Linked DNA regions of Neurospora crassa OR74A. Each later gene encodes a partner of the first gene's protein in a complex. Links are inferred from orthologs where the notes say so. Each region holds a gene or a part of one and is shown on either strand. Other genes may lie near its edges.

The links.
Region 2: NCU00570 (region 1) and NCU00419 share a complex: the UniProt entries of both Saccharomyces cerevisiae proteins name them as parts of the RNA polymerase III (Pol III) complex. The link is inferred for Neurospora crassa OR74A from reciprocal best matches to the Saccharomyces cerevisiae genes RPC11 and RPC19.

What each region holds. Positions count from the first base shown.
Region 1 is NC_026501.1:7,970,218-7,977,169, forward strand, and holds NCU00570 (DNA-directed RNA polymerase III polypeptide), read left to right. Parts: upstream 1-1,193; 5' UTR 1,194-1,432; coding exon 1,433-1,445; intron 1,446-1,501; coding exon 1,502-1,788; exon of another isoform or gene 1,789-1,844; coding exon 1,845-1,883; 3' UTR 1,884-2,064; downstream 2,065-6,952. Other genes in the region: NCU00571 (hypothetical protein), read right to left, coding at 1-278, 426-452; NCU00569 (SOH1 family protein), read right to left, coding at 2,085-2,372, 2,427-2,543; NCU00568 (hypothetical protein), read left to right, coding at 3,162-4,084, 4,146-4,917. UniProt on the Saccharomyces cerevisiae protein: DNA-dependent RNA polymerase catalyzes the transcription of DNA into RNA using the four ribonucleoside triphosphates as substrates. Component of RNA polymerase III which synthesizes small RNAs, such as 5S rRNA and tRNAs.
Region 2 is NC_026503.1:3,780,640-3,787,916, forward strand, and holds NCU00419 (DNA-directed RNA polymerase I and III polypeptide), read right to left. Parts: upstream 3,620-7,277; 5' UTR 3,406-3,619; coding exon 3,235-3,405; intron 3,177-3,234; coding exon 3,085-3,176; intron 3,014-3,084; coding exon 2,937-3,013; intron 2,866-2,936; coding exon 2,735-2,865; 3' UTR 2,612-2,734; exon of another isoform or gene 2,479-2,611; coding exon of another isoform or gene 2,467-2,478; 3' UTR 2,383-2,466; downstream 1-2,382. Other genes in the region: NCU00416 (C2H2 type zinc finger domain-containing protein), read left to right, coding at 1-268; NCU00417 (cell cycle control protein cwf14), read right to left, coding at 698-1,144; nuo14.8 (NADH:ubiquinone oxidoreductase 14.8kD subunit), read left to right, coding at 1,517-1,640, 1,694-1,755, 1,891-2,037, 2,272-2,382, 2,467-2,478. UniProt on the Saccharomyces cerevisiae protein: DNA-dependent RNA polymerases catalyze the transcription of DNA into RNA using the four ribonucleoside triphosphates as substrates.

The sequences.
Region 1 (6,952 bases):
TCGCTGTTGATCCATCGGACTGCGCTGTGCAGCGGGGTGTCGCCCTCGAGTCGGTTGACGGGATCGCATTCAAAGCCTGGTTGGTCGAGGAGCATGTCGATTATCTCGTAGTTGCCACGGAGCGCGGCTTCGTGGTAGAGGTGGTTGCCCATCACGGTGGTCGTGTTGTTCAAGAGGGAGGAGATTTCTTCGTCGGATTTGTCGGCGAGAATTTCCGAGAGGAGGTCAGTGTTGTTACGCCGGCAAGCTTCAATGAGCTGCTCGGAGATGGAGGCACCCTGTATTTTGGGGGGTGAAAGAAGGAAGGGTTAGCTGGGGTTGTCTGTAGTATAGCTGTTTGCGCGAGAGGGCGTAGGGCGGGTGAAACGGGGGATAGAAGAGAGAGGGTGTTAGTTGGGGGTAGAGGACGCTTGTGTGGTACGAACCTCGTGTTCTTCGTCCTTTCCGGCCATGGTTACTGGTAGGTCACTTGTGGTTGTCTCGGAAACGGCGGGTGATGTTTCTTGGTTGTAGGAAGAAGCACAAGTAGCGAAAACGACGGTGAAAGCGAAGAGGGATGACGGCGAGAGTTGTCCAAAGTAGAGAGGTAAGATTGGCCTGGAATTGCTAATTACGAGCGGGAATCGTGGAAATGGGTCGGCGGGGGAGAGTGGATGTACGGTATGGAAGTGGCCAGGCTGTCGAATCAGGTAATCGGTCGATTCCTATAAAAGGATCGGGATCGCGTAACGCTCAATGAGGGATCTTCGGGGTAATAAGAGGGCGGCGAACGACTGTTTGTAGGGTACAGTGTACTGTATTCTATGAGATATCTCCAGTCGTGGTGGTGGTGGTGGTTGTATGAAGGACGGGATGGAAGCATTCCGTACCTCTACCTAACGGGCTGGTTAGGAGGTGGCAGTGGCAGTGTCGTCTTCCCTTGGTGTTACAGAATGGTCGGCTCCTTGCGGGGCCCGATCAGGACGCTGGCATTCAGATGGCATGCGCTGAGGCCCAGCTGCATGTCAGTGAGTAGGTACGTACCTACCTTAGCACAGGCACAACAGAAAGGGCCGTTGGGTCCAGGCACCGCTGACCAAGTGTGGGACAGTTGATGATGCAGATCTGACCAATGAAAATTCAAGCGCTACATTTAAGGTTTATAGAATTAACGGACCGCATCGAGCTATAACACTTTTTTTCAGGCCATCGCCCCTACACTGACTATTTACACTCTAACAACTTATATCACTACCTTAAAGCCCAGCAAGTGGTAGACATAAACACCGGTCTTGGCCAGCTGTTTTCACAAAAGGTACCAGCTTACGGCGACGCCTCTTCTCATCAGGATCGTCAACAAGACTTTTGGCAACCGCTCGACTCATCTCACTTGCTATTCATAACGGACGATAACACACAACAAACAAATCCAGTCCCTTCATCAATAGCAAACATGCCTATCGTCTGTAAGTCCAAGTCCACCCACAAAGGCTAGGACACCGGAACTAAACGCCCACCACAGTTTGCCCATTCTGCGCCAACCTCCTCATCCTCTCCCGAGCGGACACGGGTGGCAACAGGCTCGAGTGCAGAACCTGTCCTTACGAACACCCCATCGACAAGCCCATCTACTCCCGCAAGAACTTCCCGCGCAAGGAGAAGGAAGACGTGTTTGGTGGTCCAGGCGCTTGGGACAATGCACAAAAAGGCAAGGTCCAGTGTGACAGCGGAACTTGCAATGGCAACGAGGCAGCCTTCTTCCAGGTTCAAATTCGTAGTGCTGATGAACCGATGACGACGTTCTACAAGGTAAGAAGGGGATTGCAGACTGATGGGATAAAGTAAGAAGCTAACATGTCTCGTAGTGTATGACTTGCGGGCACAGGTGGAGAGACAACAACTAGAGGAAGAAGACATGTTCAGCACAGGTCTGGTCGGATCATCAATACATGGTATTGGGGGCATTGCTTGGCGTTGGGTTTTTCTTTTGTTTTTGTGTAGTTGCATGTGAGGTATTCTTCATCAGAATCAACTTGTGCGGTACTGGCCTGCCAGAGGCTACTTCCCACTCGTTTCCATCCCTGGCATCATTCTACCCGTGCAACTTATGCCGTGCTTGGAAAACTCTCTCGATGCCAGTCGATTCCGGCCTTCATGCCCTCTAGCCTGAGACGCTCGACCAGGTCTGGGCTGATGATGTCCTGCCTGAACTTTTCCTGCTGCAGCAACTCCAGGTTCTTCAAGGTAGGCCCAGGGTAGGTGATATACTTGAGGTAAGGTGGGCGGCTCCAGTACTGGAGATAGTCGAGGTAGGCGATGAAAGCAGGATTGCTGAGTAGCTTCCTGGACGCAAGATGGTTCAGGTACAGCGGGTTGCCAAGTGCTTGAACAAACTGAGTGTTCTGTTAATACCACGCACGCTGGATGATAATGTGTATGAAGCCTACCTCCAGTTCGAGTTCGAACCGTGTATATCCTCCATACTTGGGCTCGTCTGCCCCTGATCCCGGAGGCGCAGGTGGCTCCCTTGCTGAACTGTTTACTGACATGGGATCGGATGCCATGACGTAAAAAATGAGTGTTTGTTACAGTGTTCCAATCTGTGAATGAGCTGGATACCTAGGAACGTGTCTAGATGTTTGCGCCTCTTTGTCAAGTGAATGCGATGGGCAGTACAAGTAGACGTGAGCAGTGGCTGCTCTTAAATGGTCGTTTGTGTTGGACGAAAGCCTCAACGGCCCGTGAGTGCCCGGAAGGAAGGCGAGACTGTTTTGTTCCACCAACAATTCCTCGAGGGCGGCCCGGATGTGGCAAATTAGTGGGGCAAGCAAGCGGAGATGGCTCTGTCCCTGCAGAAAAATCAGCGTGTAACCGCTATAAATACTCAGATCAGCCCTGTAACTTGCTTCTGCAGTGACAGTCAACCCGACAACAACCTGGAACCTAATTGTGGAACCCAAGGCCGCTTCCGTTGTTCCCTTCCAGGGCAGGTTGGACACGCAGCTTTATCTCAACACCAACCCAACATCCCACGTTGACGGCATTATCCACGTTGACGGAATTATCTCATCTTTCTCACTGCTACAAAAAGCATTCGATACTCGGTGTTCATATCTCATTCATAACGACAGATTACGGCAAATAGAAACGCATGAGTATCGCGAGTTGACTAGGATATCACCATGGCTTCTCCTGAAGCTTCGGCCGTCAACGCGACAGGTACTATCCTTCCATCTCCGGTTCCAGATGCCACACCATACACTTTTCATTGGGAGATGCTCCTTAGGCCAGAAGTTCTTTGGTTTGATGCTCAGGTTATCTTCGGCGCCTTGGCTGTAATATGGCTTGGTGCTCATGGCTCCCTCCGCCGACCTCCCTCCGCTGCCCCACCAGAGTCCGAAGACAAGGACGAGAAGAAGAAGAAGTCAAAGGAAGACGAGCAGTTCACGGAAGGACTGACTGCCTCTGATGCCATCATGTTTCCCATTCTGGCCGGCGCAGTTCTCATTGGGCTCTACTATCTGCTAGAGTGGCTTAAGGATCCCAACCTGTTGAACAAGATACTGCGAGGTTACATGTCTTTCGCTGGCATTGCCGGCCTCGGCAAGCTGTCCGGGGACGCCTTAGAGATTCTCACCAGCTTGATTTTCCCAAGTGTATGGTCAGATCGCAGCAACAGACTCTACTACGTCGATCCGAAACGCCGCTCTCAGGTACTAGTTGACCCAACGACGAACCAGGCCATGATCACCGACAAGAAGTCGCCTTTCCCCGGTGTGTTTTCCATGGTTCGCCTGCCTCCTGGAATCAACAGACTTGCCTGGGAGATTCGGCACCTCTTTACGGAGAAGTGGACAGTCCGCCTTGCTGCCCATGGCGTCGGCTCTTTCAAGTCGCAGATCAAGTTCAACCATCTACTTGGATTCTTGGTCTCAATCGCGATAACTACTGCATATCACCTTGTTCAGTGGCATGTCCTTTCCAACATTCTTGGGGCTGCCATGTGCTACGCTGCTTTTGGCATGCTCTCGCCCACGTCTTTCGGTATAGGTACCGCTGTTCTTTGGGGTCTCTTCTTCTATGACATCGTCATGGTGTTTTACACGTATGTTTCCACCCATCTTTCAGCCAGGACAGCTATCCAGTTACTAATCCATTTTCTACAGTCCGTTCATGATCACCGTTGCTAAAAAGGTTGACGCCCCAATCAAGCTGGTATTCAAGAGTTCGTCCGGCTTCAGCATGCTGGGACTCGGAGACATTGTTGTTCCTGGCTTGGTCATGGCACTCGCCCTTCGCTTCGACTTGTACATGTTTTACAAGAGACAAATCCAATATCAGCCAGTTGATGCGTCTTCCAAGCAGGCCTCATCTACGGATCAAGCAGCTAGTTCTACGAACGAAATGCAGTTCCGACGAACCAAAGCACCATTCGTGGAATCAGAAGGTCAATGGGGCAACCGCTTCTGGACCACCAAGCTGGGCAACCTGATGCCAAACCCAGCATGTGGCGCGGTCGGAGCTGCAACTGCTTTTCCCAAGCCCTACTTTTACGCTTCGGTAGCAGGTTATGCCTTGGGCATGGTTTTCACCTTGACGATGCTCCAGGTGTTCAACCACGGACAGCCCGCGCTGTTGTACCTGGTCCCTTGCGTTACCGGGTCCGTCTGGCTGACCGGTCTGATTCGCAGGGAACTCAAGGATGTGTGGGGCTATACCGAGGACGGGAGTTTGGACACAAAGGACGTCGTTGTTACGTTGGACGCCGATGGAGATGAGGTCAGGAAGCCAGCGAGAGACAAGGATAATAAAGAGGCGAAGGATGGTGATAAGGGTCAGAAGGAGGCAGAGAAGGAGGAAGAGGAGACATCCCAGGAGTACGATGTCGTGCTATTCTCTATCAAGGCTCCCAGGCCCAAGCCTCCAAAGACGGATTAGTCATTTAAGGTAGCCAGGTCTTTGAATCGGGCATGATGCTATTGGGATAGAGAGCGTATGGAGTTTGGGTTCGAAGAATACATAGAAGGTAGAAGTGCATGCCACTCAGCGTCATCATAATATATCCGGGAAAAAAGAAAAAGACACAATGACCCTGCCACACTTGGACACTCGCCGGGCGTTCATGCTGCGTCTCAAAACTGGACTCACTGAAACATATACATTGACAAAAACAAGAAGAAAAAGAAGAAAAAAAAAAAAAAAAAAAAAAAAGACCATGTCACCATTTGAACCCCGCGACCTCTGTCTTCTTTTCCCATCTGCTCCCTCAGCTTCGATGAGGATATGAAATTATACCCTAAAAAGAAAGCCCAACAACCGCGCACTTAAGCAGCACACATTTGTTAACCGGCTCAACGCTGTCCCTGCCATCTATTCTCTGTACTTGTCATTAACTTTCAAGTGGACGCGGCCTGACGATGTGGAGCCTTTTTGAGTTACTTGAATGTACATCATTGTTCCCGAACCAACAGGTGAGTGAGTATTTTGGGGCCAGGGAGGTTTGAGTTTTTACAACGGTAGACCGTTGCGCTAGCTGACCCAGCGGTGGCGGCAATCGTAGTTGCTGATTACCTAAGGAGCTTATATGTTCGTTTGTTAGAGGATCAACTTGGGAAGGAGCGGGAGGTTCATAAGTAGGTACTTCTAAGTACGGGGGCCTGATGGGACGGGATGGAATGTTAATGTTTGCTGTAGTGGTTATCCTTACTGTCAGTCAGTGTTGCACCTATAGGAAAAGATCCTTTTGGATGGGTATTTTAAGAATTCTCCATGTGAGAGACGGGAATTGATGATAGTGGTATATTTGTAAACTGTAACGGCGTTGTGTCCATAAGCTAAATGACTGTCCGTACCTACCGATTCCTTATGTACAACTCCAAAGGATATCATACTTGCTGTCTGCTGTTTATCCCCCTCTGACCTGATCAACACCAGACACCATCCTACCAGATCTTGTATCTCTCTACATAAGGAACGAACGGAGTTCAAACACCCACTCTCCAGCAACAGCAACAACAGCATTTACACATACGACCATAGGCACTTGGAGAACTCGGGATCCCGTCTGATCTCCCATTGATAAGCCAGTGACCGCCAGACTAGTAGTCGGATCGGTGACGACCGGCGAATAACCTGGTGTTGTATGTCTTTGTCTTTTTTTGTTCCTTCTCTTTTTGGTCCTCTACCTTTGACTCCTTCTCTTGGAGGAAAGTGGGATGTGCGTCGAAGGAATGAGAAATGGGTACTAGCCATGGAACAAAAACAGCTGGATGTCTTTCTGTGGATCAAGTTCAAAAACATGTTCTCGCCAGCTGCATTAAGTGTCTATTCTGACGAACTGTGAATGAGAATCCGTTGTGCCCCACACAAAGACTATAACGCCGTCACCTCTCAGGCCCTCCCACATTTCCTTCCTAGATCACATGGGGGCGATGATGGTAGTGTTTACAGATGAATTATAAGATCAAATTTACCCTCCCTTAAGAGATCAAAGAACAGGTAGCTGGGTAGGCGTCAGAGGACACTGTTACCTAGGTACGTAGTGCTTTAAAAGGCAAATAGAACGGTATGCAGTACGTATGAAAACGTAGTATATTTGGAGAGATCTTGATGAGTGATGTATTAAAGTTCTTACTTCACTCTGGGGTTCCCCCTTCCTTATATATATTTTAGGCCAATCATTAGTCCAGTGACAAGCCGTTGATACCATTACAATTACCATTTTCCGCTCGTTTTAATGGTACTTTTGTTTGGTCAAATATGTCAGACGTGGAGGCTGGAAGCCGGATCCGAAATATGTAGTCTTTTTCTCAGCTTCTTTCTTCAGTACTACCCCATATAATTGTCATACAAACGAAACCGTTTGACGGCTGGAGACGTCTGGTTTTTTCCTTGCAAGATTGTACATATGACTTCGTACGACTGGTGTTTGAGATCAGAACTCGATCACAAAGGTCGAGAATACCGCTGAGGG
Region 2 (7,277 bases), on another chromosome or scaffold:
CAGCTCTTCCGACCCAAAGGTCAACTCCAAGTCAAAGCCTCCATCAGAAATGAAGGAGCGGATGGAAGTAGATCGGCCCGAGCCCACTCCAACATCGACGAAACCCGATGCTGAGATGACAGACCAACCGCACGAGGAGGCCGTTGAGGAGCCGGCTGACGTGGATATGGGAGACTTGGTAGGCAAGATGTCTGCACTGCAGTTCGTACCCTCCAGTGTCAGATTTGGTCGTGGTCGTGGAGGAAAGACTGGATTCGCCAAAAGGTGACAACAGAGGAAGTGCAAAAACGAGATGTGGTAAGGCTTGGGCAAACCAATTCCATTAGTACTGGGCAGCTGAAACATATTATTGCACATCTGTAGCGAGAACATACTGATACGGTCCTCACATTCCATGATATCATGACATAACGTGTTCGTATGTTTGTTCAATCTGCTCCCTCAACAGTAAGCGTCAAACATAGCTCTGCAAAGGAGAAAGCATCTTATCTTACCCTCTCCCCGTGAACGCCTCTTCCCTCTCCCGATGCGTGCTCGACAAAGAGATGTTGTTGGTATCATTATCGCGGCGCTGAACAGCCGTTCGTCGGCCCCTGGCTTCTCATTGTTTCTCCACCACATCTCAGCCTTGAAAAAAGTTGCTTGTCCCTGCCGTCCCTTTTCAATTTTATAACCTCAAATCCGTGCCTCCTCCTCTTCAATCACCAGTAGCACACCCTCTGCACCCACAGCTCACGCACTGCACATCCTGGCCCTCCTTCAGCTCGGCCTTGGGCACGCGGCAGATGCACGTCGAGTTGAAGTTGGTCTCCTTGGTCTGTATGCAGCGCAGGCAGCAGAGCTTCTCGTAGCCGTTCTTCTTCCACTTGGCGATCAGCATCGCGTCCGCGTATCCATTCTTGAGCAGCCACTCGTACAGCTGCTTGCTGATGGCCTCTTTTTCGTAGTAGAGCTCATAGATGTACCGGCTCCGCTGGTGCGAGATCTGGAAGATAGGCCATTTGGCCTGGTGCTTGGGTATGTTGTCCGTCGGGGCGTTCTGTGCGTCCTTCATCTTGTTGGCGAAGATGAGCAGATCCTCCTCAATGTCGGCAAAACCCTCTGGGGGCGGCTTGCGCTTCGAGGCGGGGCGAATGGCTGGCATTTTGAGGTCGTCGCTGGTCCTCGGCCTCGGGATTTAGTAAGCGGTGCTTTAAGTAACGTGTTTTGCGTTGCGCTAACGTATATACTCGGAAGAGTATCGGAGTGTGTGGTGATATCGCAATTGTTCGGTTGAAGGATGGAGAACTTCAAATCTAATGAGCTGACCAGAGGAGAGTGCTGTGATCCCCGGCGTAAGTGCAGTGAACTGGCTCAAAATTGCCTGCCAGAAACGCCTTGGAATTGTGGCGCCAACGTCATTGGCCTCTTGTAGTTGTGGCTAGTGCTATCAGCGCCCGCACTCTGTGTGTAAGAGCAACTGTGGCTTAGCTGGATGCTACCGACCCCGAGCCGACTGCTGAAGCTACAAGCTGTCATGCGAACGACGAATCGACCGACCCTGGCGAACGGAACGGCGACAACCTCCAAAGGTCCTCAAGTCACGAATTGGCCCAAAATGCCCATCACACCTACCAAGTACGCCATCACCACCAGGCAGTGTAAGTGACCCCAGTTGTACAAGCTGAACGAGTAACTCTGACGGACATTGTAGCGGCAAACTGGAGCGACGCCAAGCGGAGGGTGTTCGCCCTTTATCGGCGATGGCTTCGTTCGGTACGTTACGAGCGAACCTACATAGAACGAGCATTTCCAGCTTTCGACGAACACGTTGGATATCGACGTATATAATGGGAGGAGTGCGAACAATCCCGACCGAGGATTCGCTAACCAGGATATCACATACAACAGACACCCGAGATGCAGTCTATGTACTCACTACCCCTCCCCATTTCGGTCATTCGCACTCGCATCAGGCAGGAATTCGAGCGCAACCGCTTCGTTAACAAGTTGCCCGTGGTGGATGTTCTGCTCACAAAGGGCCATGCCGACTATCAAGTAAGGCTCCACTTCATCGTCACTATCCACACGGACATGAATCAGGGGATCCCCAGAAACGGGCACAGCAGTGGGGTCATGTCCAAAATCTGGAGAACACCCAAAAAGAAGAGGGAAAGGGTTCCAGGCAAGGGGTCAGAAGGGAATATCAGAGCGCTGGCGCATGTTATGCGTCGCGGCGATTCGGACTGATTGTTCTGGTAACTTGACGCTGACTCTCCACGCGTCTATCAGGAAACCATGAACTTTTGGCGCCAGACGACTCACATGATGTCGTACTTCAACGAGGAGAGCTTCCGTGGAGCCAAGAGACTTCCCTCCAGCTTTATCGATGGCTTCCTGCAGGTAAGCCTATACATGCAGCTCTTTTGTCTTTGATGATGGCCACTTCATTGTGCGGGTAGCTCACAATACTCTTCTTTCATCTAGGGTCGCAACTAAGAAGAGTAATAACGAAGGGTATCAATGTCAGCCTTTCCTCTAGAGCCTATGTATATAACGCAAGCCAGATGAACATCCATGGACGCAGCCGCTTGTTCTTTTATCTTCCCCCCTTATCTTGATGGCCACTCACAGCGAGTTTTCCTTTGTCTATTTTTTGTTCCCCCTTGTGATTTACTACCAATTCAAGCCCCAAAACGCCGTTACCCATGCTGGTGAAAATTAACGATGAAAAGAAAGGTGAGAAACAAGAGGCTTAGGCAGACGCAGCGGCCTTCTTATCAGTAAAGTCCTTGCGCGCCTCAAGGAACTTATCCGAAACGACGTCGCAAAGATCTTGAATGTCACGCAGACCCTTGCGGAGTGCCTCGACAGCAGTTGTGCCCTCTGCATGTTACTGTTAGTTCACCTCTGTATTCACAGGTCTCGCTAAGAAGTGGACGAGAAAGATGACGCACCATAGGTCTGAATTCTAACGTTCATTTTGGCTTCGGAGGGATGAGGAATGGCGTAGGCGCAGAATTCGACATCAGGGCTATGAAATGGTGTTAGCACAGTCACAGCTCAGCTCATTAACATGAGACAAGTGAAGCTCCCGGTACTCACTTCTTCATGATGACGTATCTGAGCGCGTTACCAAGGGTATGGTTCTCATCAAGGAACTCGAAAGAAGCGGCCGTGGGCGTAGAACCAGGAAGCTGTGCTCAGGTGTTAGTCTCGAGTCGACATATATTCGTCATGGAGGGTTTCACGTACAAGTCTAACTTTAGTACCCTCTCCCTCCTCATACTCCTCATCTCCCTCCTCTCCTTCCTCGCCCGCATCGGCCATAGAGACATCATCCTGAGCCTCCGGCTGGTGAGAAGTCGGGGTCTCCTTCATGGTAACCTCCTCGCCCTCGTCGCCGAACTTGGTGATCTTGCCCATTTTGACTGTAATGGTTGTTGGTAACGTGAGTTACCGGTAACTGAAAGATGGTTTGGATCTTTGCGTAAAGTTGTTGTTATTCGATTGTGTAAATCCTTCCAGGAACACACGGATGGGTTGAATTCAACAGTCGGCGGCACGCGAGTGGTGAACAACAACCTGACTGAGCCTCTATTGCCTCTGTTATCGGAGAAATTTTTAGCGTGGAAAGAAAGAGTTTATCCGTCGCCAAGAATTTGGGAAATGCAGGGTTTCGCCCCCCAGCAAGAAGATGGAGGCGGCTGAAAGTTAGGCGAGCAGCTACCGACCCCACCTGCTGACGGGCATTGGCCTGCTCCCGCGTTCCATTGCTGAGGATACTCCACCAAGCTGAGATGAGCCTTTGGACTTCGCAACTCCACGCTGGGGACTTGAGGTCACTCGGGTTCAACATTCACTTCCCGGACTCAAGACTCCAAATACTTGACTTCACATTCGGTTCACTATTTAATCGGCCAGTGTTCCCGGAATTTGAATAAGCTCTTTTGGTGTTCACGTATAGCAATCATTCCGTGACCAATATCTTGGGATTGCGAAACTCTCAGGCAAGAACACCCTCGATCACGTTGACGATGAACCCCCAACTCCAGAACCCGAGGTTCCTGGACTCTGTACTACTCAAATCATCACCATTCCCTCTTCAAAATGACTCAGTGGTAGCTACATTGTACTGGAAGGGTTTTAGAGTCATCACAAACTTTACGGTCTCTATGGCATTTGATACGCTCCGCAATTCGAAATCTTGACTTGAGACAAGGATAGACTTCACACAAGGTCGTTATCCGTCTCCGGTCGTCAGAGAATGAGAACCAGATAACTCCAAGCTGGCGGAGCTATGAAATATTGTTTTGAATGTTAGGGAGTAAGGGAAAGCATTTCAACAAGGATCAAGAAAGATGGAAAAGGAAAACAAGTACAGAGAGTGACGCTCGCGGTACACTAAGAGGTGGAATCGGAGGCCATTGTCCAAAAAGTGACACCATGCACACCATTCTCGACTTGGATCTCTGGTACACGTCAAGTATATCGTCTGGTATACAGCAATCCGAGCGTTTCCACAACGTGTCGTCGGTCCGAGCAGTATCGGGCTTATGGTCTTCCCCAGGACAATGTTTCAGTTTCAGGTACTTGACCTTCTATACTGTTGTTAAAGGTTCAAATGACGTAGAAGCGTTGTCTGTATTCTTCTATTTCTTGCCTAATTACTTGTCTTTGGACCAAGTTTAGGTATGCATTAATTATTGCCCGAGATGCGGCGGTTCCGATAGTTGGTAGGCACTGTAGCTGGCCATGTGAGGTGGGAGGTACTCGCTGGGACATGAAACGCCTACTCCCATTTCCTTACATGCATTTTAACTGTTCATCTTCAGTGCGTTGATACTTTGGTAGTGTGAAGTGACGACTGCCTGGTGGGATGGCTACCTAGGTATGTCTTGAGAACAAAAACGGGGGCCTCGACAAATATGGCTTAGCTACCGTTTCAGGACTTATACTACAGTTATACTACTAGAAAGTGATTGCAGGTATGGAGGAACTGTGAACTGCTTGGAAAGCAAACGGCAAGCATACCTAGTATGACTTTTGTTGATTCCTTGGTTCCGTCTCGTTTTTGTTACAGATCGAATTTAATTCAGAAGCTGATCCTCATCCTACTATTTCATCATTTTGAATACAATGGGTGAGCAATATTGCTCTCTCTGTCGACAATATACTTGAGTTTTGTGGCTCGATGAACAGTTCGTATGTTGAGGAGCAGGAGACAAGATGTCACAACGTTAGGAACAGTCTACTCGGACTCTGAAATGCATCAAAGCCAATGGAGTGGCGTAGAGGTAGTTATAGTATCATCGGATTGGTAGAACCCAAGTTTGTTTTCCACAATAACATCTCAACCTCTCATGTATTTTCAATCGTTGCGAACATTAGAAGCTGCAACGAAAGAACATCATGACCCGAGCTATTGATCCTGTTGAATGTATTTCAGTGCCCTCACAACTCGGCAATGTACTTCAACCTCTAAGCCGCAGACATCGACCGATTCCCACTTTGGCAGCCGTTACACAAAATTCAGAAATAGGGGTGTTTCTTCAAGTCACTCATCGCCGGCAGACCTTGGGTATAATCGATATGATCATCATTACCCATCATCTCCACCTTGCCACAACATCCAACCAAAGTTCATCAATTAAGAAGAACAAGTGTGTTGTTTCCGTTGACTAGATGGTTAAAATGATGGAAGCCAAACCTCATGGAAAAAAAAAAAAGAGAGAAAAAAAGGCGACTGCCAGATACGTAGTCAGTCCAGCCGGCTTATCACAACTTCCACCATACCAGCCCGGCAAATAGCCGTGATCCGTCTACCTTATGAGCACGTCATCAGTTCACCGTTCTCTCACTACCCTAGCCAGGGCCAAAATCATCATGTAGAGGTGAGGACCCGTTTGTTCCTGGGGGAACAGTGAACAGGTAATTCCGCGGCTCGCCGAGCCGCAGATACGAAGAGATCACGGGCTAGGTAGGGGCTGGTTACCTCTATGGTGTACAACCTAGCCCTGGTTTGTTCTCCAGTCTGGTACAAAGGAGCCAAAGCTTTGATAGATCTAGAAGAAGCGTGCGGGTTTATATCGCGTAACGGTTTGAGACTGATATTCTCCGGTCTTGAAGGCCTTGAAGGAGATGGAGAGCGATATAAGGAGACATATATCAGAGGATTCTGTGGCATTCCAAACTCTTTGCCACTTGTCCTATGTTACCTACTTTAAATGGATGATGGAATTTCTCATGAAGACTAATAAGAAATCTAAAACTTATCCGTTAAACCTATGACCGAAGAACCAGCCACCAAACAAATAAAAAGGAACCAGCATTGTATTGTAGTGTAGTCCCGTCTGGCTCAAGATAATGCGGCAAGCCGGGAGTGGACAGACATTGTGGGTAGGGGTTCATTGGTAAATGTGTCCTATTTCTGAGCGCGTAGTCAAGTTGTCCACCACGTCGGCTGCTGGTCTTGAGAGGCTGTTGGCAGATCTACGTTCAGTTTGTGGACCTCGTTGTGAAGTAACGTTGTTTCTCCTCTCTTCATATTCTGTACCGTCTCCGTCCTTCACCTGGAAGTAACATGAGTTGTCCTTGGATGGAATAGCTACGGTGTATTCCATCTACCGCAAGAACGAAATCATTGTCTTTCTCGGGATTTTATCCATTCACGAAACAGGGGCATCCCATTCAAGTTGCAGTCTTCGAACATGCTTGCATATATTCCCCAAACCCAGAAGACCCAGCAAGTTAACGGCATGGTTCAGTAATCAAGTATAATGAGGCTCAAGCATGTAATGCTACCAGTTTCATCATACCCTTTTTGGAGGTCTGCACGAATCCACGTTACCGTTGTGTGCTATCTCTGCTTCGAGTGCGGTGTTGAAAAGGGATAAGTCTTGGCTGGAATGCTCGTCGGAAATATCAGCATGCAACGCTTATTAGATGATGCCTGGTGATATCAGAGGGCATCAAATATTGAAGCCAACACGAATTGGTAATTAAACCCTGAAAGCGGGAAGTTTTCGAACAGCCGACAGCCGAATGGGGGTTTTATATGGATGGTGGGTAATAGTGAACGAAACGTCTCCGTATCCGTGAGAAAGACCAACAAAAACTGAACAAGCAATGTTTTCGTGATCCGAACCTCGCTATAGCAACGTCATATGTATCTCTCATTTGAAGAACTTTTTTTCTTTTTTTTTTCTTTGATGACTACCTAACACCGACTGAATGGGTGCTGTGCCAGTGGGTTGCATCTTGTGCAGATTCCTTCTCATCATCACCACGCGAACCAT